Pelodiscus sinensis: one gene and its partner. The protein of the gene in region 2 purifies or fractionates together with the protein of the main gene of each other region. This does not show direct contact. Links are inferred from orthologs where the notes say so. Each region holds a gene or a part of one and is shown on either strand. Other genes may lie near its edges. The genes, in order: GNG2 and GNB5.

The links.
Region 1: the proteins of GNB5 (region 2) and GNG2 purify together in Homo sapiens (affinity purification with western blotting; 4 studies listed by BioGRID and IntAct, with this or other methods). This does not show direct contact. The link is inferred for Pelodiscus sinensis from reciprocal best matches to the Homo sapiens genes GNB5 and GNG2.

The regions. Positions count from the first base shown.
Region 1 is NC_134714.1:7,148,548-7,164,528, reverse strand, and holds the start of GNG2 (guanine nucleotide-binding protein G(I)/G(S)/G(O) subunit gamma-2), read right to left. Parts: upstream 7,649-15,981; 5' UTR 7,494-7,648; intron 1-7,493. UniProt on the Homo sapiens protein: Guanine nucleotide-binding proteins (G proteins) are involved as a modulator or transducer in various transmembrane signaling systems.
Region 2 is NC_134724.1:25,287,812-25,303,046, forward strand, and holds the start of GNB5 (guanine nucleotide-binding protein subunit beta-5), read right to left. Parts: upstream 7,667-15,235; 5' UTR 7,410-7,666; coding exon 7,298-7,409; intron 1,558-7,297; coding exon 1,421-1,557; intron 1-1,420. UniProt on the Homo sapiens protein: Enhances GTPase-activating protein (GAP) activity of regulator of G protein signaling (RGS) proteins, such as RGS7 and RGS9, hence involved in the termination of the signaling initiated by the G protein coupled receptors (GPCRs) by accelerating the GTP hydrolysis on the G-alpha subunits, thereby promoting their inactivation.

The DNA of each region.
Region 1 (15,981 bases), on a different chromosome or scaffold from region 2:
CCATCTTGCCAGGCCTCATTACTATGGTAACCACATGTACTGGAGGTTGGTTCTCTCTTAAAATGACTCACAGATTTTTCAAAAGAAGAAGTGGGTCCCTCGCCCTGCCGGTTTTTTGGCCGCCGTGTTGAAAACCACACACACACACAAACACACACACACACACGCCTGGCAAGACGACTGCTCCCTCAATTATCATCCTCACACGCATCAAACGCTGCTGGTGTGCTCTCTGGAGACAGCATCCGGGCCTGCCTCCCTCTGGGTGTGAGCAGAGCGAACAAAGCCCCTTGGATGCTTTAGCCATCCTCGGACACTTCAGCCATCTGGGGTAAATCGAGGCAAATCCCAGCTCTATAATCCGATTCCTGCGGCTTCCTCAATTGGAGAGAGGGAACATATTTGCTTCGGTTGGGAAGCATTTGTGATTTCATGGTCATATTTTAAAAGAAAGGCCTAAACAATCAAGAGAAGCACTAACATTATGCTAGCTACTAGATTAGAGAATACAATGCAGGGGATCCTAACGGGAGGGGGAAGATTCATCGCTCTGCCCAAACTCAGCTATGGAGAGGAGGAACCCAGAAGGAACCAATTACAGTTCTCTAATCCTGGCCTAGGCACTAATGAAAATTGCAAGGCAGCAGCTCTAACTTACGCCAGTGGAGGACCAGGCGTAGAAGAGTTTTCCTCCCTACTCCCAAAACAATCCCCTTGTTCCCCCAAGCATGAGGCATGAAGGGGATGCAAACATCTCCCCCCCCCCCTCAAACCCAGCCGCACTGACTCCAGCTCTTGGCAAGCAGAGATCCCCTATGCAGAGCAAATCTTCCATGGGCCATCTCTGGTTGTTAAAAGGCCACTTTCTACTGCTTATGGCCTCAGTAGCCCTGACAACCCCTCACAGCAAGCAAAGGAGCATCCTCCAGGCCTCTTGGCTCTCCTTATGCCCACTCTGGCTCTCACCAGCCTCTCTGCAGCACTGCTTGGTGGAAGCTCACAGCTCTGTGCACCCAGCACTTAGTCTATTTCACTCGCTTCTGAGTCTATCTTCCCCAAGGCTGGAGTCAGCTGTTCTCCTATGCACCTGCCAATTATTGTCCTAGCTAACAAGACTCAAGGCCAGTCAGCAGCTGTCATCTACAGAAAGCAGATTTTCTTGGCAAATAAGGAAATACGGAGTAAAAATCATGACTCATTCACCTAGATACACGCTATGGAAAGGCACGCTGGTCTTAAGTGACTTCACATCCACGTATGATGTAGAGCTCACCAGAAAAACAGACAGACCTTTCATCGCCCATGGCCTAGCCCCATCACCTTCCAAAACAGGACCAGAACGTCACCCTAGCCTAAATCCAGCTGAAATGGCGAATGCTTCTTGCTATCCACCCTCTGCATTACATCTTCCACATCTTTGACATCAGTCTTGTTTTGGCAGCAAACTAGGTGGCTCGTTCTAGACAAACCATTCGCAAACAAAAGCCCAGGTGCATTTAGTCAAACACTGGAATAAATTGCCCAGGGAGGTTGTGGAGTCTCCATCTCTGGAGATATTTAAGAGCAGGTTAGATAAATGTCTAGCAGGGATGGTCTAGACAGTATTTGGTCCTGCCATGAGGGCAGGGGACTGGACTCGGTGACCTCTCGAGGTCCCTTCCAGTCCTAGTATTCTGTGAGTCTATGAATTCTGCTTACACATCCTGGTAAACCATCTTAATGGCCAAAGACCAAGCAGATAAAGGCACCGAGCTAGACCCTAAGCTAGGGGTGGGCAATAATTTTTGCAGAAGGGCCACAATGAATTTTGGTACGTGGTCATGGACTGGCTCTACCCGCCACATTCCAGAATGGGCGGGGCCTGGGATGGAAGGGGCGGGGCCAAGGGACTAATCTTCCCCCAGACTTGTCTGGGGCTGGAGGCTTTGAATTAATAACACAACAAAGGGCTCCCTGCCCCTGGCCCAGGACTATCTCATTGCCTGGAAGCCACCCAGGGTTACTGCGGCTATTTAAAGGGCTCGCAGCTCTGTCTCCTGCCAGGGTAGCACCACGCCTGTGAGCCATTTATATAGGATCCTGCTCTGAGCCTCCTCCTGGAAATTCGGTGACACCAGCTGCAGGATATAATGAGAAAACAGCCAGATGCCGTGTGCAGGCTGGATCAAAGCGTTAGGCGGGTAGGATCTGGCCCCTCATGTCCCATCTTGCCTGGGCTTGTCCAAAGCCTGCAAAGGGGGCTTGCGGAAACATGGGCTGCTCTTCACGAGGTCAGTCTCTCTTACTACGGGTTAGGCTACTCTAACCCGTCCCAGTGGGCAGGACCCAAGGAGCCATTACGACAACTAGCGATCACTGGAGGGAAGTGGAGGCCTGTCCGTTCCCCCTTTATTTTGGGACACATCCGAGGCTGGCCGCTGGGTGTGCACAGTCATCAGCATAAAAGTAGCTACAGTCATTCTAGACCCCAGGATTCCCCTCTAGGGGAGAGATTTGCCAGGTTTTGGCCACTGTGCGGCGATGAAGCTACGCACAGAGCATGGCTCGGGGTCACTTCAATCAGGTAGCATGGGCGTGTAAACGAGCGCAGAACCTGACTCGTCCTCCAGAAAACGGCGAGATTGTACGGGCGCCTTGCATCGTCACTCCCCCCCTCCCCACCCCTGACGCAGCGCTGTGCCACCAGGAAGTGCAGACACACTGAACAGCAGGGAGGAAACTAGGGTTAGAACTTTCCCTGAAAGCGGAATCCAATTTCGAGCCAACGCCTCCTCGTGCGGTCCAAGAAACGTCTGGCAAACCTGTCGGCGAAGGCACCCAGACGGACGCGCGGGGGCAGGCTGAGCCCAGCTGCGGCGAGCCGCACAGCTGGAATGGGCAGCCAAAGGAGCTCCCAAGGTTCCCGTCAACGCACGTCTCTGCAGACAGCCTCAGACAGAGCAGCACTTTACGTGCGACCCCGTCTGATCCGACCTGTATTTTACAGGCACTGTCTAGGTTTTCATTAACAAGCCCTGCCCTCCCCAGAGCTTCCAGCTGGCACGGGGAAGAGGCGCCCCGACTCGCTGAACGGGAGCCCACTAGGGCAACGTTTGCTCACGCCAAGATCTCAGGTGAGTTGATTCTGCATCTGGAGAGCCAGTCTCAATATGCTCTGAATAAATTGCCAGCCCCGGGGGGAGCAGAGGGTAAGCACAGTGCTGCTGAGATTCCCTAGAGGGACCAGTCCAGACACACACGCCTACTCCAGCTCGCCCGCATTCCAAGAGGAGTTCCCAAGTTGTGGGCAGCAAAATCCAAGACCTTTTTTTGCCCGATTCTGTATAGCTTACAGTTCCATGTTTTCTGGTGATAGTAGCTCTGTTCATCACTTCTTCTCAAGAGACCTTCTTATGCCAGTGTTTCTCGACCAGTGGGACGAGTACCCTCAGGGGTAATCGAGAGAAGTCGGGGTGGGGGGAGGGCATGTCAACAACTGAAATTTGGAGAAAACTGAATTTTTGTTTTAAGTTTTATTATTTTTGTACTTTTTACACCCAAAAATTTCATCGCCCACCCAGCTACAATTAAGTTGTTCCAACAAACGTGTTGCAATTGTAGAAAAAAAATTGTGTGTCTGAAAACTGTAGGTACTGGGGGTACTTTTTTGTTTTGAAAAAGGGGTACTTTATTATAAAAAAAAAGTTGAGAAACACTGACTTATACCATACCACCTTCTGTATGATTGTCATGTACAACTGAGGGTGCTACAGCACACCTACTGCCCCAAAGGAGGTAGGGGAACTCTTCTCAAACTGAAAGAGACATGGCCAAAAATATTTCTCCCCCTCCTGTGCACTGCCCGACGACACCTCCCCATCACGGACGGGGGCAAAGTTGCAGGAGAGTGGAAATGAAGCGCCCCATTGGCCAACATCAGCAGAAGCTACACACTGCAATTCCCACAGGTAAAGCAGCCTAAACGTTCAGCCACGGGAATAACTGGGATGGAAAAGCACCGCGGCACGAAGCGTGCTTTGGAGAGAAACAGCCCAGCAAGAAACTCACAGGGCCAGCCAAGTCCTTGCTGGATGCTGCTTAGAAACCTTCCTAATGCAGCATTTAAAAGCATTTAGCAGCCCCAGTTGAGAAAAGAGATCATTCCGCATCAAATTCAAATTCCTCACCAAGGCTCTGCACAGCCTAGCTTCTCCCTAGCTCTCCAGCCTTGTTTTGCACTATCCTGCACCCAGGCATTGATGTGCCACTTTGTATCCTCCTTCCAATCCTGCACTACATTCCCCAATGGCCCTGATACCCAGAATGCCCTCTCTAAATCAGGCCTGCTCTTTCTTCCGTCCTGCGACACAGCAGAAAAATGCATTTGTGCAAGGGTAAAAGATATATTAAAGAACCAACAGGACACGGGGGGAGGATGTTATGTGACCTGATCCCCCATTCCAGAAATACTCATTGGTTCCACACTTGTTTCTGATAGGCTCATGGTACAGTAACTAAATACTGCAATGAGCGGAAAAAGTATATTTAGTATGTAGACAGGACGCCTTATGTAGTCTGCAGTGTTGTGTGGCCATATCTGTCCCAGGAGATTAGCACAACAAGGTGAGAGAATCTCTCTTATTGGACCAACTTTTGTTGCTGAAAGAGAGAAGCTTTCGAGCCGACACAGAACTCTTTAAGTCCATCTTTTGAAAAAGGGGGAGTTGAAGTTGGAAACGTAACAAAAGAAAATAAAATAACTAACATTTTATCCCTTCTCAGTTACAGGGGGGTGGGGAGGGATCTCGTCCAAACAGTACCACGACGGGGGCATTTACAGAACTGTTCAGCAGGCTGGTGGTACTGATGTATGTCGATATTCATGGGGAACAATGGGGTAAGGAACGGACGGTACCCACTGCAACGCTGTGATGATAGCATTATTCAGTTCAGCAAAAGATTGGCGGTGTATTAGAAAAGGCCTATTATAATCCTTGTGAATGTGCTTCAACAGCACATGGGCCTGCATTCAGAGCACTGCCTTAAAATTAAACTGATCACGACTATCCGCGTGGCTCTTTGACACTATTAGAGACAGGCTTTTGCTCCAAATGCTTCTAACACGCCACATATTCCATGAGTGGAAGGCAATTCACACACACACACACACACTTCACCCGAGTGCTTTCTATGGGATAATTAATTGAGTTATATTTCATTTCATCCACTGGCCATATGGCAGAAAAGAGGATTAAAATTTCAGTCTCAAAATGTAGTCAGTGAAATCCAGTTAAATACAGTCAAACTATAAACAGAAGCCCCATTATTGCACTGCACACATGATGCTGCCAGTACACATAGCAACCTTTTTCCTTATACTGCACCAAAATACAGGTTCATCTTTTGGCCCAAGCTATCTGACAACTAAGAGGTTTGTTTACTGAGCAGAACTACAAGCTGTGGTTCTGTGTTGTCTTCGGGATAGCAGTGGGAGGGTCCTGACTGGGAGTTGGCCAGGAAAAAAACAAAACAAAATACAGCTTTATGCCGGTCTCTGGATCCTTCAATAAAATATGGGAACAATAAACTGAATTTTAAACAACTACAGACAATAGGTATCACAGTATGACAATTACTTTTGTCATGCATGTTAAGGATCATTACCTTTTAGTTTATCATTCTCTAACTTTAATCATACCTTGGGAGTAAAAGGAGGAAGAGATGGGGATTTTTGTTTACCTATAAATCCATTTTCAATCAATGTAGCTAAAAAGGCTCATGTTTCAAGGGATTTTGCTTCATCAATTTGACTCTTTGAAAAACAAATACAGAAAATTAAGTTTCCCCAAGTTCATTTTTTCCACCTGCATATCATTTATAATTTTGCATTTACTTCTAACAGCAATGTACAAAAAAATACTCCTTTGCCATGTTAGCCCTCATTAAATGGTTACAGATCACCAGTACTTCCTGTAAAATCCCGTTAAAAAAAATGTGTTTTGAAAAATAACAGTCTGAACTCACAGCTTTTATACAGATGCTCTTTTTTGCTTTGTCCAACTGCTACTACATGAGGAGGTGGAGAAAGGGTGTGGATAATACTTTGGTAGTCCATCTTTGGTATACAATGGTAACTTTAACTAAGGGGTCAAAAGATACTAAACCAAAGAGCTTGGGAATTAGACGTTTACGTACGACTGAAATTCTTGAGTTTGATTTTATGCTATTTTGGAGAGAACGTAAGACTGGCCATACTGAGTCAGACCAAAGGTCCATCTACTGAGTTATCCTGTTTCCCAACAGTGGCAAATGCCAGGTACTCTAAAGGGAATGAACAGAACAGGGAATCATCAAGAGATCTGTCCCATCACCCATTCCCAGCTTCTGACAAACAGCGGCTAGGGACACCGTTCCTACCCATCCTGGCTAATAGCCATTGATGGATGATAAATGCAATGATTAGGGGGTATGGAATGGCTAAGCAAATGCAATATGTATATGTATAGTTGGGATTATGTTTTCCAATATGCAATTACTTTACATTTACCAACATTACCTTGATAAATGTAATGATTAGGGATATGGAGCAGCTGCCATATGAGATGAATTAATAAGACTGGGACTTTTCAACTTGAAAAAAAGAGGACTAAGGGGCAATATGATAAAGGTCTATACAATCATGACTGGGGGGGGGCAGGATTAATTTCAGTTAAATGAAAATTCCATCCATTTCCAAAATAAATAAATAAAAGGAACACTAGACCTCATTCATGCAAGAAAAAGCTTTTCCTACCATGGCAAATGAGTTGATTCAGGGAGGATCAGCAATTCTAAATCAAACCTTTGTGGAGGAGAGGGCCCTCTTTGGAAAGATCCCATTTTACTGACAATCTTTAACCCCCCACCCCCACCCCCATCTATTTGTTTTCACAATCTGAATTCTCAAGACAATCCCTTCCCTGTATTCCGGGTTGTGAATGGCACTGGGAAGGGGAGCAGAAGACACATTAAAACGGACCCGCTCCCCTGCAAGTGCTCTAGGAAAGGAATTACGCGGACGCCTTTTGCATTCTGGCCACCTTTCTGCTCAGAGCCCACGGGCACTTCTCCTCGGGCTGCCCCACCTTTCCCCCGCCAGGCTGGGTGCCACCCGGGCCGCCTCGAGGGCGAGGAGGCACAACACGGAAATCCGTGCACCAGCGGAGCATTTGCACGGAGAGCCACGCGCGCCCCGCTTCCACCGAGTCCGTGCTCCGCCTTGGCTCGCAAACCACCGGCAACCCCCGGCCAGTCTGCCGGCTCCGTGGCCATCGCAGCCGGGCGGGCACGGCCAGCGACTCCTTCCCCGGCGGCCCCGACCCCAGCCCCGTGCAGCCCGGCTCTCACGCGCAGCGCTGGCCCCCGGGCACGCTGGTGAGCCGCGCTTGTGAACCCGCTTGTGAACCCGCTGGTGAGCGGCGCTTGCACGGAGCAGCCCGCCTGGGCGCGCCCGGGGCTCTGGCCGGGGCTGTTACCTGCTCGCTCGGGGCGCGGCGGGCTCAGCGGCAGCCCTGGGAGCGGCGTCCCCACCCCGCTTTGTCTGCGCTCATCCTCCGGGCACAGGAAGCGGCGCGGCTCCGACTTCCTCCGCCCCGGCTCCGCGCCGCTCGCCGGCCCGCCCCGCCCGCCCCCGGGCCCCCCCCACAGCCCCCCCGCCCCGCCCCCGGGCCCCCCGACAGCCCCCCCCACAGCCCCCGCCCCGCCCCCGGGCCCCCCCCACAGCCCCCCGCCCCGCCCTCGGGCCCCCCGACAGCCCCCCCGCCCCCGGGCCCCCCCCACAGCCCCCGCCCCGCCCGCCCCCGGGCCCCCCCCACAGCGCCCCCCGCCCCGCCCCCGGGCCCCCCCCACAGCCCCCGCCCCGCCCGCCCCCGGGCCCCCCCCACAGCGCCCCCCGCCCCGCCCCCGGGCCCCTCCCACAGCCCCCCCGCTCCCGGGCCCCCCCCACAGCGCCCCCCGCCCCGCCCCCGGGCCCCCCCCACAGTCCCCCCGCCCCGCCCGCCCCCGGCCCCCCCCCCACAGCGCCCGCCCCCGGGCCCTGACAGCGCCCCCCCCGCCCCGCCCGCGGGCCCCCCCCACAGCGCCCCCCCGCCCCGCCCGCGGGCCCCCCCCACAGCGCCCCCCCGCCCCGCCCCCGGGCCCCGACAGCGTCCCCCGCCCCGCCCGCCCCCGGGCCCCCCCCCACAGCGTCCCCCCCGCCCCGCCCCCGGGCCCTCCCCACAGCGCCCCCCCCGCCCCCGGGTCCCCACAGCGCCCCCCGCCCCCGGGCCCCTCCCACAGCCCCGCCCGCCCCGCCCCCGAGCCCCCACAGCGCCCCCCCCGCCCCCGCCCCCGCCCCCGTGCCCTGACAGCCCCGCCCGCGCGACCTGCCCCCAGCGCCAGGGTCTCGCCCGCCGCCCCACGGAGACCCCCCCCCACTGCTCCGTCTGCCCCACGGAGACCCCCCCCCCACTGCTCCGTCTGCCCCACGGAGACTCCCCACTGCCCCGTCTGCCCCACGGAGACCCCCCCACTGCCCCATCTGCCCTACGGAGGCCCCCCCACTGCCCCACAGAGACCCCCCCACTGCCCCATCTGCCCCACGGAGACCCCCCACTTCCCCATCCGCCCCACGGAGACCCCTTCAGAATCCCCACTGCCCCTCTGCCCCACGGAGACCCCTCACTGCCCTCCACCCCACAGAGACCCCCCGCTGCCTCATGGAGATCTCCCCACTGCCCCATCCGCCCCACGGAGACCCCCCACTGCCCTATGCCCCACAGATACCCTCCCCCACTGCCCCACGGATGTCCCTCCAGACCCCCCACTGCCCCGTCTGTCTCACGGAGACCCCCCCTTGTCCTTCCACCCCACGGAGACCCCTTACTTATGTCCCTTGCCCCAGAACCTCCACTACCCCCAAGCATGTCCTTCCAGAAACCACTGCCCCGTCCTCCCCACGGAGACCCCCCCACACACTGCCCCATGGATGTCCCTCCTGAATCCCCACTGCCCCTTCTGCCCTACAGAGACCCCCCACTACCCCACGACTGTCCCTCCAGAACCCCCACTGCCCTGTCCCCTCTACGGAGATCCCCCCCCCCGCTGCCCCATGGATGCCCCTCCAGAATCCCCACTGTCCCTTCTGCCCCACAGAGACCCCCTTTTATCCCTCCACCCCATGGAGACCCACCACTGATGTCCCTTGCCCCAGAACCCCCGCTGCCCCATGGATGTCCCTCCCCTACTGCCCCGTCCATCCCACGAAGACCCCCCACTGCCCCGTGGATTACCCCCCACTGTCCGCCCCATGGAGACCCCCCCCACTGCCTCATCTGCCCCATGGATACCCCGAACTGATGTCCCTTGCCCCAGAACCCCACGGATACCCTCCCCCACTGCCCCATGGATGTCCATCTGCCCCAGAACCCCCTCTGCCCCACGGATACCCTCTCCCACTGCTCCCTCCACCACAGAAACCTCCACACTGTCCCCTCCACCTCACAGATACCCCCCACTGTCCTCTCTGCCCCATGGATACTCCTCCACTGTCCCCTCTATCCCTCAGATGTCCCTTTGCCCCAGAAACCACCCACCCACAGCCCCACTCTGCCCCATTAATGTCTCCCCCTGCCCCAGAATCCCCCAATGCCTCCTTTGACCCACGGATACTCCCCACTGCCCCACATATGTCGCCTTGCTCCAGAACCCCCCCTCTGACCCACAGATGCCCCCTCAGAATCCTCCACAACCTCCCCATGGATGACTCCCCAGCTGAGCCTCCTCCCCCCATGTCTTCCCACCTCAGAACACTCCCATTACTCCCTTCTGCTCCCTGGCCTCAGCCTATGCCTCACACTGCACCCCTTTGGCTCTCCACATCCTCTACCCACTCTGCTACCGCCACCCTGCTGGCGATAGTCCTGCCCTCTCTGCTGTCCCCACCCCCTCTACACACACCGCTTCCCCCCTCCTGGTAGCCCCTGATGCCCTACCCACTCTGCTACCTCCTCGGTTCCCTGCACTGGTTCCCTACGGACACGCTGCCAGTCCTCTACCTGCTGCCACCCACGTCCCCAACTCGCCCCGCCCTACAGTCACCCTGCCTAACCATTCCCCACGTCCTTCACTCACCGCTGTCCCACATCTCCCCCCGTCCCTGCAATTTCTATCCATGCTTTGCTACCTCTAATCTACCAACCTACCCACGGCCTGTGGGAGCTGATCAAAGGCTTTTGCTTCCAGGCAAACATTTCCAAACCAAGCGGTAACTCCTCCGTGGTGAGGTAACTACAGGCCAGGCAGGTTTGTCCCCATCTCCTTCTCCCAGCAGAGCAGTTGCTGAGCTGGGAATAGAAGCCAAATCTCCCCAGTTCACTGCATCGCCTTGAGCACTAACATTTATGAAGGTGTCCACTTGAATACTGGGGTGGAGAAACATTTTAGGACTGGGGGGGAGGGGTTGCTGACTCACAGAAAAATCAGTTGGGGGGTGCCTACAAGTGAGAAGCAAAAAAACCAAAAACCAAAACCAACCCCCAAACCCACTGACTGAGATGGAGAAAAAAAGATGCTTCCTGCACTTTCCTTCCATACCGGAGCCTTGGGGGGGGGGGGGGAAGGCTAGTAGATTCTGTGTGCTTCAGCTACATGGGGGAACAGTGGGGGTGGGGGGGTGTAGAGTGCCAGCACTGGCTCCCTAATCCTGGCAGGGGAGGGGGGGACATACCCAAAGCCTCAGGGGCCAGATCCAAGCAAGTCGGGAGCCGCATCTGAGAATTTTTGTTGCTGGCTTTTTTTTCTTTTAAGATGGCTTCTTTTTTTTGCACCAAGTATTAGCACCTAAAAATACCCACAGACACAATTTAGCTCATTTAGCTGTCAGCACCTGATTACACCTACAAATCCACTATTTAAAAGTCTAAATAACCTAAATGGTACAGCAGGATAATTATTTGCACCTGCAAAATCACAGGCACAAAGCGAGTAAAATAATTCTACAGTTGTTCGCTGCAGAAAAGTATATCCAGTGGAAGGTGGAAGGAAAGGCCTTATATGCCCATGTACAATGGTTTGATTTTTTTCAGGAGTCTGGCAGTGCTAATCTGAGCCTCCAAATACCGGCTCGTCCAGGGACTGGGTGGGTCCAAGCATGGGTGGCCAGCCTGAGCTTCTGCAAGTTTTCAATGCGTTAGCTTGGGCTCTGCTAGTCTGAATGTCCTGGCTGGGCAGCTCGCCTCTAGCTGCAGTGGAGATGTGCCTTGTGGGCTGCGAAGCAAGAATCTCTGTGGAATAAGGTGGCATTTGACATGTTGCTGCTTTATAATCTCTCTCTCTGTGAGTCCAATTGGTCAAGAACCTCTCCTCAATGGTAAGAGCTAGCACCACCAAATTTGAAATGCAATGAGGCCAGAGTTTGGTTGTGGCAGGAAAATGGGACATGCCTGGAATTCGATTGTTTTCCCTATCATGGAAAGGAAGAGGGCTCATCGGAGGGACGTGAGACTGCACAGTCACCAATGGCAGCAGCGAGTGGGGCGGGGAGGGGGCAGACTTACTACTGGGGGACAGCCCCACCAGGAAGAGAAACCACTGGCCCAGGAAAGCGGCTCCGCTTCCCAAACGCTTTCCTCCTGGTCCTTGCCCATAACACCGCCCCGGGGAGGGGGAGGAGAAGTCTCCCCAGCCCTACCGCCATGCCACTTCCCGGAGCACCACTGGGGCTGGGCGATGCAGCCCCCCCGACTCCCCTACCGACGGGGCTGTGTGGTATGGCCATGCTGGAAGGCCTGTGCAGCCAAACTCCAGGCCCAGGCCTACAGATTGCCAGCAAGAGGCTTCCGTGGTCCCCCCAACCCCAGGCTGGCCCCCTCAGGCCATCCCTCCCCAGCCCCCGGGCCAGACCTGGGCAACACCTGGGAAATCTTTTAGTAATATACTATTTGAATGGGCTCACCGGCTTGGCTCAAAGGAGCTGCTTGTGTTTCTGAGAAGCAGAAAAAATTGTAAAGAGCAGGAATTATATGAGGATTTGCCATCTTCAACTGACGAGCCCCCAAGAGTGTGGGAGACCACAGGCCTTTTTGCCAGCACCAGAGCTCTTTGAGGAAGCGATTCCTTCTTTTATCTGAACAGAAAAATGGGTTAGACCAACTGTTCATCTAGCCTAATAGCCCATCTGCTGACCGTTGCCAATGCCAGACACCTGAGAGAGAATGAGCAGAACAGGGCAATTATTGAGTGATGCAGCCCCGGCTTCCGGTAGCCTGAGCATGGGGGTAGCTTCTCTGATTGTCTTGGCTAATAGACATTGCTGGACCTGAACTTAATTCTTTCTCGAACCCAGTTATACTTTTGGCCTTCACAAAGTCCCCTGGCAATGAGTTCCACAGGTTGGCAGTGTGTTGTGTGAAGCACTTGCTTTTGTCCGTTTTAAACCTGCTGCCTATTCATTTCATCTCCGTCCTGTTTGCTAAGCTGGACAGTCCCAGTCTTTTTCATCTCGCCTCGGACGGAAGCTGTTCCCTACCCGTAATCATGCAGGACTTCGTACAATGGAGTCCTGATCAGATGCTCCGGCCACGCCCGTCCATAATGACAGCCTGCACTTTACAAGCCGTGCACTTTATTAACAGAATGCAGGCGTAATGAAGTAATGGCAAGGCTTTGCTTTTTGGACAGAGCTTTTTCACTTAGGCAACTCAAAGCACTTCACAAGCTTAATGGTCCAAGGGTCATTAAGCAGCATGGAAGTGGATGAGTATTATCCACCCCCCTCTTACAGAGAGGGAGGATACGTAATGTCAGGGCTCAATTTGTAATGAAAGAGGTGCCGGGGCTCAAGGAATTTTTTTTTCACTTTCATAACTGACAGGGTGAACTCAGAGGTGCTGGCGTTGTGAACTGCCCCGCCTAGAGGTGCCAGGCCTGCCAATGGGGGGCAATTACCCTGGTGCCCGAGGATTCAAAGAGGCCCCAGGGGTCCCGGTGCTGCTATTGTAGCAGTGATGGCATGTGGAGCCTGGAGCCCAAGAAATCGCTGCTGGAGAGCTACATGGCATGCCAAGGGCTGGAGTGGGGTGCCGTGAGCCGGGTGGTACGGAGCCCTGGCAAGCCCTGGCACAAATTAAGCACTGAGTAGCATGCACAAAGGAACAGAAGGAGAAGAGACAATAAATGGAACCCAGATGGACTCCCTCTCCATCTTGTTAACCACAAGACTTCCCTTCCCCCTGCTACGATTTCTGGAAATTCGTATATGCCAGCAAACAGACCTCCTGTAGCAGCCCAGAACCAAGGAGCAGTGTGTTTGGGGGCTGATTTTTCAGTTGGTTAAATAGAAAAGATTTTTCTCCCCTTAATGCTCGCAGGACCGTATGTGGAACTTGTGTAAATCAGGGTAGTGCCGTTGAAGTCCATGGCACTAGGACAACGTACAGCAGCCAGGCAGATTGCTTTTGTAGTCTAGATCTGCTGCCCACTGGTGCTACGACTTTTGCACTCTATGGCTTTGCCTGAGCCTGAAAGGGAAACCTTTTCAATTCCGTGCCAAACATTGTGACAGTGTATTCGCATGGGCCTGGGAGTGCATTGTGGGTTTAGGACACTGCTTCTCAAATTTGTTGGCCCACGGCCCACCCCGCTCAACGCAGACCACCCAGCCAACCCCTCGTGATGACAGACTGGGTGCAGGAGGAGGGGTGGAGGGTCTGGGAGGGAGGGGGTTAGGGAGCACTGACCTGGCTCTGTGCCTCCTACCCAGACCCACCCACCCCGCTGCTCCCATTGGCCATGATTCTGGCCAATGGGAGCAGCAGGCGAGTGGTTTCCTGTGGTGCTGTTGCCCTAACTGGGGGTGGGGGAGGGACAGCACATAGTGTTGCTTCCTTCTTCTGCAAGCCGGATCCAGGCCGCAAGGCTCACCACCCTCTCCCCCGGAGCAGGAAGCCGACGTTGGCACTTCAACCTCATGAGGGCCAGGGGGGCCTGGGGCTGGAGCATCAGCACAGGCTTTCTGCCCGGGGTGGGGGAGAGAAGCCCTGAGCCCATGGCCCACCTGCAAGATGGTCGCAGCCCACGAGTGGTGCACAGGCCACGCTGAGAACCGCTGGCTTAGGAGAAGCGCCTTTAACTCTGCAGAAACACATGCTACAATCAGCTTGTCTCGCCAGGGCATTTCGCAAGAACTTGCAACTCCCCGCCCTGTGTGCTTCTTGCATTTGTCTAGAATTTCTGCACGTTTCCTGGAAAGGAGGCAATGGACGGTGATAACATGGGTTTCCCCTCTGGTTACCATGGCAACCCTGAATGACTGATTTCCTATGTTGCCATGCAAATGCAATGGATGAGGTCAGCTTTTGTGCAACACAAAGCCGGCAGTAATTAAAAAAAAAATCACGAACAAAAAGCCCCCACAAAAACTCTCCAAACCCCTGTTATCAAACCTATTTTCCCTCATTCGCAAGAAGGAAAAACACATTTTCATTGTCAATCTCTCTCTGTCCAAGTAAGGAGGCGGGGTCCTTTTTGGGGATGATGAGGAGCCTGGATAGGCGAGGCAGGGGGAAATATCTTTGCTAGGCATATTGGACGGATGACAGGACAATTGCACAGATGCCTTTTTGTTTTGGGGGACTGATTCCACCAGACTGGAAGCCTTGGACACCCACCTTATTCATAGCCAGCATGTTTCTTGTGGTTTTTTCCTTTCATCCGATTGTGCATTACAGTTGAAAGGGTTCACAAGTTTTAGCTGATAGTCATTGCAGATGCACATAGCTCATCTGTGTCATAGACCCTCTATTGCCAGCAGCTAATGGCGACTCTCCATTAGCTCAGGAGGGAAGGGCTTGCACTTCTGAAGCAGGAGGACAAGCCCTTATATACTATCCCCAGTATTGCTGCAGGACCCAGTACCAACTGAGAAGAGGCTGACTTTAGACTTGTTGCATTTCATAGAATCATCGAATACTAGAACTGGAAGAGGTAATCAAGTCCTGTCCCCTGTCCTCATGGCAGGACCAAGTACTGGCTAGACCAGTGGTCCCTAACCTTTTGGGGCTGCCAGGCACCCGGGGGCGGGGCCACCCATATGCTGCGTGCCCAGTGCTGGTGCCACCCATGCACTGCACTCCCAGGGCCAGCACCGCTCCTGTGCCGCACGCCCAGGAGCTGGTATCACCCACGCGCTGCGCGCCTGGGGCCGGCGCTGCTCCTGCCTGTGTGCCCAGGGGCAGGGACGCCCATGCGCCGCGCACCCAGGGCCAGCGCCACGCCTGTGCCGCACCCCTGGGGCCTGTGCTGCTCCTGTGCTGCATGCCCAGGGACAAGGATGCACATACGCCACGTGCCCAGAGCTGGCACAGCATATGTACCGCGTGCCTGGGGGCGGGGCCGGGGCCAGCACAGCCCTTGCGCCATGCACCCGGGGGCGGGGCCACCCATACGTTGCGCACCCAGGGGCCGGCACTGCCCATTCACCACGTGCCCTGGGGGTGGGGCTGGCCCTGATCACTCGGCGGGCGCACAGAAATGGCCTGGCGGGCACCATGGCGCCAGCAGGCACCGCGTTGGGGATCATTGGGCTAGACCATCCCTGACAGACATTTATCTAACTGACTCTTAAATATCTCCAGAAATGGAGATTCCACAACCTCCCTGGGCAATTTATTCCAATGTTTAACTACCCTGACAGTGAGGAACTTTTTCCTAATGTCCAACCTAAACTTCCCTTGCTGCAGTTTAAGCCCATTGCTTCTTGTTCTATCCTCAGAGGCCAAGATGAACAAGTTTTCTCCCTCCTCCTTATGACGCCCTTTTAGATACCTGAAAACTGCTATCATGTCCCCCCTCAGTCTTCTCTTTTCTAAACTAAACAAACCCAATTCTTTCACCTTCCTTCATAGGTCATGTTCTCTAGACCTTTGATGATTCTCGTTGCTCTTCTCTGGACCCTCTCCAATTTCTCCACATCTTTCTTGAAATGTG
Region 2 (15,235 bases):
GTCAGCGAGGGACTCTCAGCTCACAGGATAGATGTAGCCTTAAAGGAGCTGTCCTCAGACTTACCATGGGGATCTTGATCTTCTCAAGAAACAACCATCTGAATAAATTTGTATTCATTCTTTTCTTCTACAAATGAGCAGTTACATCTGCTCCTCGCATCACTCTGTTTATCTGCTTTTCCCCATTCCATCCTTCCTCTACTCCCTTCTTTTTCTCTACTGCTACTCTTAATTAACCTTTAATTACCCAAGTAACCTAACAATAAGAATGAACATGCAATCAATAGCATGCTACATAATCATCTTATCTTGTGGACTGGCATAATATCCTTTAACATTCCAGACTGGGAAAAAGTGAATTTTGTTTGCAACCAGCTATTTTTATTTCCCTGGACTCATTAAATTCTTAAAATAGAAGTTTAAAAAATGCAAAGTGAAATTATGCAAGTGTCATCAAACAGAAAACAAACTTCACTTTCCTGTAATGCTAATACAGTACCTAAAACCCCAAGCAGGTTCACAGAAACATTTTTTCAGGATACATTTTTAAAGTGGAATAAGCCTCTCTTTTTTGCTTTCAGACCTACACACAGAGACTTCACCACTTCAAAAAAAAATAGATTACTAACTGTTCAATCTTTGGTCTCCTGGCTGAGACATCCAAGAATGGTGTCAGACAGCAGTAATTCTCATGGTGGTTTTGTGATGCAGATATCCTATTCTATCCTGTAGGCACTAGATTGAGACAGCAACTCATTTCAGAAAGGCCAGAAAACAGCTGTCAGATGTAACAAGTTTCAGCCATTACCATTCAGAATGTGAACCAGTGACAGGCATTTATCTCAATACGTCTCCCATCCCCCTGAACATAAGACTGATCTTGAACAGACTTGCAAACTGTTTCTCAAAATGTCCAAATATTTGTAGTAGTTCTAGCTGGCTGAGTGTTTCTTTAAGGTCCCATCAATCTTCCAGACCACAAAAAGGATTTCATGTTCACAGATCACATTGAGACCTCTCTAGTAGAATCAAAATGTTTTCAGATTTCCTCATTCCAATTCTTTCTTTCCAAATGAGAGTGTGCTGCATATTGAGTGTCCATAAAAAATAAGAGGCATCTGATCTCAAACCAGCTCATTGTAATATTGTGTGCTAAATGACTGTGGACACTGGAAAAATTCTGCATGAAAAATGGAAGAAGGGTCTTTAAAGTATCACCTTCAATAGGTGTGTTAATGCTTACCAGAATTATATTCTTTATTCAGTAGTCTGGTTTATGATTTCTGAACAAATGTTACTAAAAGAATGCTTTAGGCATCATAAAAGCTTTTAGACTAACCATAGGTATTATTTCCAATTTATGTTACCTAGTGTAGCTATAAGAATTGTGCCTGGCTATCATGGACTTCAAATAACTCACCTGGGAAGAGCTCACAATTCGTCTTTTATCTTTGCACCAGTCCATGCAGAGGACTTTATTGCCATGGCCTTTCAGAGTTCTCCTGGTCTTCATCACGAATTGACCTAGTGCTTCCACACGTTCGGCCACCTGATGAACTGTGGAGAATTAGCCATAAAGAGACTCACCAAATGTTTGCTCTGTATTAAAACCCTGGTCCTCCAAACACTGATACTGTAACTCAGGAGTGACTTTTGCTCATGTGAGTCATTCCAAGAAGCACAATGAGTCTATACAGGTGAGTTGTTAGTCATGTGAGTGTTTGCAAGATCAGACGCTAAAGGATCACTTGAAGCATATCTAACCACGTGTATAGTATAGTATTCTTCACAGAAGCATTGCTATTAAAAACAGAAGACTCCTTAGAGAATGTCATCTAATCAAACCATCTGGCATACCAGGTTTTGTTCACTGGGGGGAGAGGAAGGTTGTGAATGTGTTTATGTACCAAAAATTCATTTACATTATTTAGGACTTTTTACATTTGTTGATAATTTTTTTAACTGAAATACTATATGCAATCATAAAATTTTGCAGCTCTTACTTTTTAATACAGTGTTTTGTCTCAAATGATTGTTGTGGTTCTAAAGTCCTTTCAATGTTATAAAATGCTTCTTTTTAAAAATAACTTCAGCCCTAGCAATGAGAGGACATTTTAATGCGGCAGCTCTGACCTAAAGGTGATATAAGTACTGGACTTCCATCACAGGTTTGATCTGCACTCGGAATTCACACTGGCAGCCACAGGCAGCGTGTGTGCCAGCTGCCATACGTGCCCTTGCATAAGCTGAGTGGCTGAGCAGTTTTTTTAATAGCGTCATATCTTATGACATTAACCTGCCTCAATGTAACAAACAACAAAGCCTTTTCACTTCACTTGTGTCTGGAGAATAGCAAGGGTTTATTTCTAAAAATACATGGCTTTATGGATCAGTTTCTATTCATTCTGGAGAATCTGAAGTAAAATCTTCCAGCTTGAGTTCTCACGTTTTAAGTTATTTCTTTCCAGCTGGGGTTTCTATAAATAAGTTCAGATTTCCAACAGGACGTGGCTGTAACAATGCATATGCAAAGGCACCTCACTGTGAAATCCACCCCACTCATGGCACTGTGCAAAGCCATTTTGCACCCCTAAAACCTCATGTTGTAACTGTCCCCGATGAATGGCAGCGGGGGGCATTAGTTGAGAAGTCTAATTTGTTTCTGTGATGTTCATTCTAGCAAGAGCTCAGTAAAGACATACAAAATTGCTTCTTTCATACAGGAGCAAAAGGAATCTGGGCTGGCCCTAGAAAACCACAGTAAGAGGGGGACATTGTATCTGCATTTATGAGGATCTAGTGGCTTTACCAGCATTAAAACATTTTGCAAGGAGCCTGGAGGGAATGGGGCTGCTACGTGAGCTACAGCAGTGGTCACCAACCAGTAGATCGGGATCTACTGGTAGATCTTGGAGCCTCTGACAGGTGATTCTGACAGGTTTGGCCGGGAGGCTGTCAAGTGCAGACACTTCATCTGCCCCTCTCAGCACTGCCATGCTGCTTCTGCCCTCTGCCTTGAGGTGCCCCTGCCCTTCCCCCATCCTGTACCCCATCTCCACAAAGCGGGAAGGGGCAGGTATGGAGAGAGTTTGCTGGCTGCTTTTGGGAGTAGGTGTGAGCCTGCCTTAGTCCCCAGTACCACCACCCAGAAGCCACCCATGGTAAGCGGTGCCCAGCTGGAGCCCACATTCCAAATCCCAGGTCCAGTCCTGAACCCCTCCTCCACCCCAAACCTCTGCCCTAGCCCTGAGTCCCCCTACACCCAAACTCCCTCCCAGAGCCAGCACCTTGAACCCCCCTGCTACTCAACTACCTCAGCTCAGAACCCTTCCCACATTCCAAAACCTTTAGCCCAAGATCAGCATCTGCATCCCCTCCCCAGATCCTCAGCCCTCTGCCCCCAGCCTGATAAAAGTGAGTGAGGATGGGGGAGGGAGGGAGGAAGGATGGAGTGAGCAGGGCCAGGGCCTTGGAGAAGGGTAGGAAGAAGCCGGGGCAAGCATGTTTGGGTCTAAGGTAGATCTTGGATTGTACTGAAATTCAAAAAGCGATCTCATGCTTACAAAGGTTGGAGACCACTAAGCTATAGGCTAGACTAGGAGTTATAGGAGTCTGTGTGCTCTAAATCAGCCTTATAGCCAGATTCAGGCTACATCTACACTGCAGAGGCTACATCTAAAACTCACAGAGCGTCCACACTACAAGTGCGTTTTTACACAAGAAAAAAGTACAGTAGATTGTCAGAAGAGTTATTCCTCTTTCTATGAGGAATAAGCCTGTTTGTGCAAGAGCTCTTGTGCAAAAAGGCACATGCTGATGGACAACAAGGGTTTCTTGCGCTAGAAACCCCTATCGGATAAAGCACAGGTGCTCTGATGGCCAGTCTGTGAATGACCATCAGAGCGTTCTTGTGCAAGAGTGTCCATAGCAGTGCGGACACTCTCTTGCGCAAAAACACATGGCAGTGTGGACGGGCTCTTGTGCAAGAACTTTTTGCAGAAGATCTTCTGCAAAAAGTTCTTGTGCAAGAAGCCTGCAGTGTAGACATAGCCCCAGAGATTAAAGAGGACCTGATCCAGAGACACGCTGGTGTGATTCAATGGATGCCACATGTCACTTGCTAGTGGGTTGCCTATATCAGTCAATCAGATGTTTCTACTGCACTCATACTAGAATCAGTGGGAAGACTCCCATTGATAACAACACAATTGTATCTGGACTTTAGATTTTTTTAGCTCAAGTGACTTGGAGCTTGAGTGCTGGGTCAATCCCATTGGTGATGAGTGAATGCTCTGGGTAGATGTAATTGCCATTGATGAAAGCTGCGGGTAACTCAGTACCTTTTAGAATCAAGCCCTAAATTAGAATTACTTCAGAAAACTCACAGCTAAAATCTTTGCCCTTTGTTTAAGCAGCAGTGAGAAAGCATATGAGCTGGGAAGGGCTGTCACAGCAGTAGGACGGGCACCCTTACTCTACAAAGATGGCTCTTTGGCTCACAGTCAGCTGAGCAATTTCTGCCTACATCTGATATTGATTTCTTATGGATCTGCTTTTCAATAATCATCAGCCTTGCAGACTGGGTCAGGGGCTGAAAATAATGCTCTTAGCTACAAACATAGCCTTACAAGGGACTTAAATCTCACATAGCAAGGAAACTAAATTGCTGCCCATTATTCCTGACAATTCGTCCATTACAGATTGATCTTTGTGAGGGGTCAGAAGCAAACCAGCCTTTCCAAAAAGCATCAGCTAAACCTATTGAAAAATTACATCCTCTCCTGCACACCATTATCAAGTGAAGCCAATCAAACGCTCTATTGAGATCCTGCAATACTATAATCAGAATACAAGTGCTGGAGGTTGTTATGGGAGCTGCAAGGCTAGGTTCAAATGCCAGTGTCCAGGGCTTAACAAATAAAACACATCTTACTGCCATTAGCCATACGTTTCCTTTCTGTTAATGCAACACTGAGTCTGCAGAACTGCCTACTTTAGTACAAATAACTCTCTTAGAAGTTTGATCCTACACTCTGAAACCAAAGCAAACTCATAGCAGCCCTAAAAAGACTTCACAGACATATACAAATTTTAAAAATATTTATAATAGTTTTAAAGACACTATTGCAAACTATGAGTGTGACCTTGCAGCTCTGACTCGGGTGAATAGCTCTAATGCACTAACCAGGACTAGTCACAAAAGGTAGTTTGTGCAAATAAAGATGAAGGATTGAGCACAGAATATTGCAAGTTACTCTGGATATCCTTCTATAAAGTATGCTATAGTTAAACAGAAGTTATGAGGCTTGATGCAGAAATTATTGGGTTCTGCCTCTGTTATGCAGGTAATGTGAGGGAGGAAAGAGGTCATGTCAGATTAGATGATTATAAAAGTGCCTGCTGGCACTAAAATCTATAAATCACATAGACAATATAATTGTTCATATTTCTAATCCAAACTTTTCAATACTGTAATTAACCCTGAGAGTTTTCCTGATTGCAAGTCAAATAAAAAGGCTTCAGATGTCTGTTCACATTTTTCAAAGAGCTACAATTCAAAATAAAATTGAACAAAGAAGAGAAAAGCTATTAAGGCAGGCAGTTTCTTTTGGAGGAAAATGGGGGGGGGGGGGGAAGGATCATGGTTTTGTCATTACCAAAAGTGTTAGTCATAATTTTAAGAGATAAAAAGGGAAGTTATTTATTTTCCCAATAGAGATAGCTGTTGGAAATAGTTTAAAAGCACAGGAAGACCACGAGCCATCAACATAGACCCAAATCTATGTAAAAACAAAAACAAAAAAACAGGAGTTTTGCTCAGGAGTGAACACACCGGGGAGGGGAAAAAAGACCCAAAATAAACCCTCCTATGAAGGGAAAAAATGCTAATAGTCACAGACTTTGTCAAGAAAATCAAACCTTGGGTAACATACACAGCCTTCATAAAAAAAAGTTCTAAAAACCCCATTAATTTACAGATCTATGAAGTAAACATGAAAAGAGTGTTCCACAAACATCATGAGACTTACAATTAGAGTATGCACAATTAAAGTTAAGAAATAGCATATATATAATTAAATAGAGACAGTTTTAAGCATATGCTCAAGTGGTCTGCTGAACTGAGGCCTTATTGCTTATCTTGTAGCAATTATACTGCAAGACTACTGATTATGGCAATGTTTCTGTGAGGAGGCCATCTCTGTTCAATGATTCCTATTAATAGGATACTGACAAAACCTATGATAATCACATTTAGGCAAGAAAATGCCTCATGTGTGACAGAAAAGAAACAAGTGTATTTTTTTAAAAAATCTGAAATTTACAGAGAGTAACAAATAGTGATCACATAAATCAGCAGATACAGTTCTGTATCCCTTTTTCAGAAACAGGAGGAACAAAGTTGTAATAAGCCCACCAAAAACCCCACTAGTAACATCAACCGTATACTTCAAGAAAAATGTGACGATTTATACGTGTAACATTTTTTAAATGAATGAGTGGTAATAAAAATAAGGTGTCGTATCTCTGGGATTTCAGGCCAACAAGGTCACATTATTCTGTAAAAACTTAAAAAACAACAAATAGTCTGGTAGCACCTTAAAGACTAACAAAACATGCAGATGGCACAGCTCATGAAAGCTCATGATATCATCTACAGATTCTACATATTTTGTTAGTCTTTACGGTGCTACCAGATTATTTGTTGTTGTTTAAGTTTATCCTGTACAGACTAACTCGGCTACTCCGTGAAGCTTTTGAACATTATTCTGTGTTAAGCAGAGTCGAAGGGTGTCACATTGTGCAGGACTATGTGTGTCTGTCTTGCCTAGTGCCCAGGGAGCCTGGTAGGAGTGCTGGCTTGGAGTGGACTCGCTAGCTATCTGGCCCCCAGAAGGGCTGGGAAGTCCTAGAGCGGTACCCGGGCACAGCAGGTTGGGATTTTGGGAGCCACGCGCAGGGATGAAATACTGGACAAGAGGCAGGCGCAGGGAAACCTCCCCCTGACTCCAAGGCCGGGATTTCACCCCGGCCGCTGCTGCCGCCCGCAGGGATGCTACTGAATCACAGCAGCAGCCAATGAGCAGCTGCAGCAATAGCAATGCCTCTTCCTCCCCTCCCCCGCCAGCCCGGGCACGGCTCAGCGCCACCCCCCACCCGGGCCGGGGAACGGGGTGCAAAGGACACGCTCCCTCTCCCCCCGCAGGGCCACGCGCCCGGGGTCCGCCACCGGCCCGGGCCAGGCACCAGCTCCGCTCGGCCCGGCCGCGCCCCAGCCCTCCCGCTGCCCCCGACTCACGCTCCACATCGTGCAGCTTGGCCCGCTCCTCCTCCAGGCGGCCCTTCAGGCTCTCCGCCTCGCTCTTCAGCGTCGCCAGGGTCTCGCTCTCGTGCAGCCCCTCGGTTGCCATCTTGGCGCGGCAGGCGGCGGGCGGGGAGAGGCAGGGAGAGGAGGGGTTGGCGGGCCCGGCTCGCAGGGATGCTGCCGCAGCTCCCGCCGCCCGAGCCTGGGAACCGCGCGGGGCTCCCCTCCCCTCCGCGCGCTGACGTTCGCGGCCAGGCTCGTGCTGCTGGGTGCAGCCCTCAGCACCTGCTCGCCCCCCCCCCCCCCCCCGCCGGGCGCCGTGCAGGGAGCGACGGGCTGGCACCACCTGGGCTAAAGGCAGGTGCCTCGGCTCCGGGCTGGCTGCTGCTCAAGCCCCTGCCCAGCCCTGGGGCTCTCCGACACTTCCCCCAGGAGCGTTTCCATGCCAGGCTGTTTCTCAGCCCCGGGATTTCATCCCACCCAGGCTGGTGCCAAGAGGCTTTTGTGGGGTTTGCTGAAACTCGTGAACCTGGCACAAGTGAGATTTTAAAAATTCACAGGGTTGTCTTCAAAAACAGGACCAGAGATCAAGGTACCAGGCCTGGCAAGGTCTCCAGCCCCCCAACCCTCGACCTTTGGACAGCGGGGCTGAGATGTTTAAAACTGAATTGGTGATTTGGCCCCCTGAAATCCAGATCTCTTAGGCAGCAGAGAGAAATCTCCATCCCCTTCTCTGTGTCTCGGTGGAATGGCGCTCCTGATACTTACCCCTTCTTTGTCAAATGCTTTGGTTGAAAACAATCAGGATTATTACATGCCACAAAAATAAACGTGTTTATTATTCTCTCCCCCCATAAAATGGGTGTTTTGCAAAATCAAAACAAAACAAATAAATCCCTGATTTTGATGTAATTGTGACTATTTTGCCCAGCACCATCTTTAATTGTGGCCTATGCATGTGTGTGAGAAAATGCTTCTGATGTATTGAGGCTGTAACTGATTTATGTTTGTTTTGCAGAGGACAGCTGTAAATGGGCTTTGTAGTCTTTCTGCAAAGGAGCTTCCTGAAAATAGCCTCTTCTGCTTTTGTTAATTGGCCTTGATCTAATATTGACTCCCATTGTCTCTCAGGCAGAAAATGGACAAACTAAGTGACTATTGTTCAATCTGGAGAAGGTCCAGGATTGAAATGTGAGATGTGAAGTAAGCACAGCTGCTTTTTAGTCTGTGCGCACATCCTGGATGAAGTATGAGGCCCCAGGAGAAAATAAAGCCCCTGTCTCATTGTGTTTAACAGCAGTACACAGTTGGGTTCTGTCTCATGCAGTTTCTCTTCTACATCCCTATGCTCAAGGTGTAACTGCCGTCAAGAGTTAGCACAGATGCTGACTGGGGATGCAGCACTCTGTTCTCCCCAGGATAAATGGTATTTTGGAAATAGTTTCCAGCACTCACCCACTTCCTAACTGGTATCTACTCACTGGATAATGCAGTACTCTTAAAGTGATGTCAGAGGAACAAATGCATTATTGCTAATAAGCAAGAAAGTGACAAGAAGGTTCTAACCTGTGCTGTTTTGGTATCTGAAGAATTAAATCTGCTTATATGAAATTAAAGACTGTGACTGTTTTTGACTTGGTGAGGCAATGGGTGGGTTGGGAGAGGAGTTTGGAGAATCAATTCCATTTAATAAAGGAATTTGCCCTATGTCAGATGCCCAGCTTTTGAAGGCCAAAGAATCCTGGCCACACTGAAGTGAATGGAAGTTTTGTTACTGACTTCTATGGGGACAAAATAGAATCTGGAGTGCAGCTGAGATATTGCTTGCATTTGAGATGGTGGGCATAGAAATGCCAAATCAGTGCTTCACCATGCTGCCTTACTTATCTGACTAAGTAGATCTCCTGTGTACAGGAATTAAAACTCATGTCCTGTAAAGAGCTGAGTCTCTCCTGGGAGAAGCTGAAAATCAGCACTGAGGGCATCAAAGTCATCGGATGCCAAAGTCTCACAGCATCAATTCAGTTCAGTCTCAAAGTGCTTATAGCAGATTCCAGATTGATTACATTTGGATTACTCCTGTGAGTGAAAGTTGCAGAGAATATTGGGTCCCAATGTGGGAAGGTGAAAAAGGGGTGTAAGTGTGGTACTCCTCAAAATGAACTAGTGGGTGGGAATGGGCAGAACTCTTTGGACCTGAGATGTAGGTGGAAGCATGCTGCATCTTAACGGATTGCTCACCTCTCATCCAGTGGGAAAAGCAAGTTCTGTCTGGTGGGTAGGAAGTAGAACTGTATCAACTACAGCTCAGGCTAGTACTAAGTACAATGGAACATATCTTTTGTGAGTCTGAAACCAGGAGAAAAATTTAACTGACCCAAGCAAACCCTGGGATATTAAAAGTTGGGCTGTCAACTAGCGAGGCTAAAAAAACAGGTTAGAGAAGAGCTGTTCTGCAGCTTGCCATAAAATAAACCAGATTTGGTTGACAAATATAGAGGAGAACATACAGTTGAGTCAAAGTTTTTCAAAAAAGCCACATTATTTACTAAATGAGACTTTAGTTAATAATGTCTAAATTGGCAGTTTGTTTCTCCCTCCCATAGACCCATCTCTGCTAGAGTCAATGTGTTTTTAACATTAACAAATAATACATTAGCAATTAATTATTCATTACCATAATGAATATTAAGCAAGTCATTAGCCTATGTTTGCAGAATTCATTCTGCTGTGGGAGTGTTTAGTCTGAAATAGGAAGGGCAACAGTTAAAGTGCCACAATGTCTTTGTGTTGAAATCCAAATTCAGAATCCTTTCAAATTGATTTCAAATCACATGGTCATCTGTTGTGAGAGTTTCTAGAGTCAAATAGAGTTTAAAAGGGACCTGGATAGCTTTACAGACAAAGGCAGTAATACCAAAGCCAGTCTGTAAGCTCATGTTCAATATTACACAGTTGATCAAGTCTGTTGTGGGGAGAAGGGTTTGATTTGCTCTCCTCAGAAGCATTAACTAACCAGCTGCTGCCGAAGGCAGGTTATTGAACTTGAAGGCTAACAAATGGAGTTCTTTACAGAGAGTTCCATCTCTGAGTTCATCACCCAGCTGCCATTTTCTATTGTTCTCAGTGGAAATGTAGATACAAAGATATCATCTGCAAAATGGACGCTCCCTCCTGTTGTTCCCAATGAGGGTGAAGCCAAGCTGCCATCATGGAAGCTAGGTAGGCCCCATTCCAATGGAGAACAATGGGCGATGGCAGGAAGTGTGAAAGAAGGCAGTGATGTGTGTGGAATTCTCTGTAAAACCTGCTGCTAATCCAACTCTACTGAAAAATGAACAATCTGTTATGAAGAATATTGGGGAGGGGATCATTAAGCCTAAAAAAAGGTCTTCGACTACGGCAAATGCTTAATGAGTCTGCACAGTATGGAGAGGCTGATAAGTCTGTGTTAAAATCATTTGGGAGACAGTAGGAAGAAATGGTCTGACAGGTGCTAAGTACCTTTAAGGGCACATTTTAAATAAAATTAAAATGCTCTACTTGTAAATACTCAGAAAACTCATCCTCTACTTAAAGGAAAAATGCTATAATTAGGGGGAGGATACATTGTATTCTTCATATGTAAGCATGGCAGAATCTCTGCCTTACATGCAAAACTCAGCAATGGAACCAGGACTTGTACTTCCATCATGGAACAGTTTGGCCAGTGGCTCACTTTGAATAGTTATGTCATGATAAATAATATGAATGATTGGATATAGAATAATCCTAAAAGAATGAAAAAAGCAAAAACATGATGCACAACCCCTTTGGGGTATCTTGTGCTTACCATACATTTCAAAACTAGATGGGTAAAGAAAGACCTGAGAAATAAAGGGTGAGCTAGCATAAAAGCCAATCGGCCTAATGAACCGAACACATGGTTGGAAACCAGGAATTCCTAAATTCTGTAATCCTGCATCTGCCACTGATGGCATGGCTTTGGAAGAATCATATAGAATGGGATTTTTAAAATCCCATGGGAACAATTGGGTCTTGTATTTGTATGTATAATTAACTGTTTTGTATATTGAAACCTGATAATTGCATATGGAATTGACCACTGACATGAAACTAGCCAGTTATGCACACAAATTCCTGATTTTATGCAGTCTTAATACATTGCAAAGTAGCATTGCACAATTAAATGTTTGTGCATATTTTCCATGTACAAAAAAGCAGGCATTTTTAAAAAACAGCCCCCTCATCTCTTTTTAACTAATGTTCCCTGTCCATGAACCTACACTTTTCCCTAGCTCATTACTTATTGCTTATACAGAAGTTAGAAGATGCAGAGCTATATATATGATAAATATTGATATTAAAACCTATATTGCAAAATAAATATGCATAAGCAAGATGCAGCAAGTCCTGCTGCTGTTACCAATTATCTTTCTCCAATTTTAATAGGGGGCCTAACATACCCTGTGTTATGAAGATTCAATGTGCTGAGGCAATGCTGACTGAAGCATCAGTTTGCTTCCAGTTAATAACCTCTATTATGGCCTAACTCCAAACAGTAAGATACTGCCTTCCCTGGTATAAGCAGCAGAGAGAAATTTGCAAGAGTCTTAATATGGAAAACAGTCTCCTGGTGCAGTTTCAGCAGTCTATCAAGTTGTCAGAAAAATCTGCTGCGTAAACTGGTATTTATACAGTGTTGGCCAGGTACAACTGAGATAAAGTGGCATATTCAAAGTCAAGAGAAGCAAATGGAGAGGAGGAGAAGAGGTTGTTTGCATTGTAGCCATTATATCTACATGCACTTATTTCACCAGTTTTAGTGTATTAGAATGTGCTAAGTTTCAGCTGATAAGCTGTGTTCACTGCATCTTACTCAGTTACTGGTTCAGCAGTCTCATTCTGATCCAAAGCTCTGACTAGGCTTTGTAAACATAGCTAAGTAAGCCTCACAGCATTCTTGCAAGGTTCTTTGTACCCACCACTGAAATGACATTGCTCAACACTACTACACAAGTACAGGGTAGCAAGCAAAGAAGAATAATTTCTCCAATTAATACTACATGGGGAATTCAGATAGGCAGAACAGAATTATCTGCCGTGGAACTTGGCTAGGACACCATGGTGACAGTACCCTTTTGGTAAGAATAGGGATGTAAATGGGCTCCTATGTTCACGGTCTCACTTTTGAAATTTATGCAGAAGACAGGGCCTTCTGACTACACAGTGCTCCTTAATTCACAATTAATTCCCATGGCTATAAGTTCTCCAATACCCTTTCTTTGAATACTCTATCCAAGTACGAAACTCATTTGCACCGGGCTAACTTGTGAGAAATGAAATGATCATTGTGCAAAGTAGTATGGCTAATCGGTTATGGATCATGTAGAAGTTCAGGCAGGTTGTGGATCACATTCAGGTTCATTGTGATAATTTAAGAAAGTTGTATTTACTGGTCTCTTATGAAACTGCTTTTTACAAGAACCTCATGGGGTTTCATCCAGAGTTTATTTTTTTTAAAGCTAATGGGCAAAATAGAGGTCTGGTGTAATTCCCATGTAATCCATTCAGTGGAGCTGTGTATGATTATGCCAGGGCTGAATTTAGTCAGGCACTTTTACTTGCACAGATCGCGTGTGTGATCTTTTACCATATATGGGAAAAAGCAGCTAGCCACTTTCCAAATAGGGAGCAAAAAGTTGACTTTGTCTCTACCCTTCAGAGTGTCATTGGGTACTCTCCATCTAGGGCTTTTATTTGGAGTAGAGCAGGGACCCTATGTGGTTTCAGTTTCATATCCAAGTAATATCTAACTGAATTCTGCAAATTCATCTGACCCCTCCTTGTCACATTATTTACTTTTGCATTCATTCTGGCAAAGGCTGTAACATACCATTTCCACACATAGTGCACAGTAGTTGAGTTGTTCTGATTTGATGTAAATTGTTCTGAGGGGTTTCTCTTTAGAGCACTTGTCACAAGGACCAAACACAATTGCCAAAAAGGTCTGGTCACACATCTTTGCTGAGGGAGAGACCTGAAAGAGACAGAGGAGAAAGGGGGAGTGCATGACAGTGAGATGACAAACCTTTCCTGTACTCTCTCAGTAGCTAATGGATCTTAGACAATATATAGACAGCTGTAGGCTGGATAAGCTCTCAGCAGCTTATCTCAAAAGCTTGATAAATCATCACTTGCACATGCCCTGTGGGTGATATATTTATGAGGAAACAGACAGGAGCATCCTTCTGTCATAGTGCATGGAATGTTTTTCTATTGCAATGTCTTATTCTGGGTTTTGGCTTAGATAATGGCAACAGAACCATCATAATCAAATGACACGTAACAACGGATTAAGCTTCAGAAGGACTCCGCATTTACAAAAATTGTTTTTCCACCATATATTTTAAGCTGTCTGTCCTGTTCATAACCATTTTAAAAACTGAAGGGAAGGTTCAGAATGCACTCGGTAGCTATAAAAAACCCCATTAATAGCAAGATGGTTTACACAGAAATTGGCATTTCAGGATGCTGGAAAATATTGAATCTATTTTTTGTTCATGAGCCAGAGTCACTGCTGTTACTGAAGTTTAAAGACCTTTCCCCATTTTCAACAAGTAAAAAATTACAGCTTTCAAGGAAGGAAAATGAGATATACCTAGCACATTCTTATGCAAAATAAGGGACAAGGAAAATGTTAGGCAAGTTAAAAAAAAAAAAAAAAAAAAGAGCCCTGATTCAGTATTGTGAACTAATAAAAAATGTTACACAGATGTGACACAATGAGATTAGTGTTGATTATTTTTTAAAGCTAGATTGAACCTCTCTAGTCCAGGACTCTCTGGTCTGGCAACATTAATGGATTATCATGATTTTAGTTAGTCAGATGTCCACTTATCATGGGTGTGGTCAAGTTTCCCATAAAATTTCTTTACAGTCACCAGTGTTCTGTGCTGTTATTTAGCTCTAATTTACCCCTAAATATCTTCTAAGAGCCCACTAAGCAGTGGAAGCATTGGTAATGCTGCAAGACAATATTGACCTCACATAGTTCAGCAAATGCTCTGGGTTGGCACCAGTCAGGTCCCAAGAGTGCCAGACTAGAGAGGTTCAATCTGTATTTTACAAGGGCCAGAAAGAAATATGACCAAGAAAGTGAACTTATGTTTTGCTAGTTGTTTCATTTTGCATTTAAAATCCCTCTCTCTTATATTTAGGGCTTGATCTTGCCACACATGCTCAGATTGAGACACACTTTCCTCCTGAAGCAGATCCATTTATTTCAGTGGGTCTACCTAAGGAGTGAGATGTTAATACCCAGTGGGTGAAAACCTAGCCCCACTGTAGTCCATCAGAGTTTTGCCATTGACTTCATTGGGGCTGGGATATCCCTGGGGAGGTATCGCAAAAAAATTCTGCCACGTCCAGGGAACATGTTTGCTCTTCCGCTTTTTTTTTTTGCGGAAGAGCAGAGGCGCTCCTTTGGAAGTCCTGTCTTCTTTGTTCCATGAGGAAGAAGGGATCTTCCAAAAGAGGGTTTTTTTCTGAAATTTGGGCCACTGTAGATGGGCCAAATTTCAGAAAATCCTCTCAAATAAAAAAAAGCGGAAAAAGGTACGCAAATTGCGGAGTGCATTTTGCATACCTTTTTCCGAAAAAGAGTTGTAGTCTAGACATAGCCTTAGTATATACAAAAAGAGCAGAACACAGCCCATACATAACTAAGATAAATGATCTTGTAGATTAACTTGGAACCAAATACATTATTTCTCATTTAATGAAAACAGACATAGGTGGCATTAAGGGAGCCTCTTATGCACACAAAAGTCATTTCTCTCATGCAAGTATCCCACTGCCATTAGTGGGACTACTCAACCCCATGGTGATTGTACTACGCATTATACCAGAGAACAAAGGACTCTGGCAATA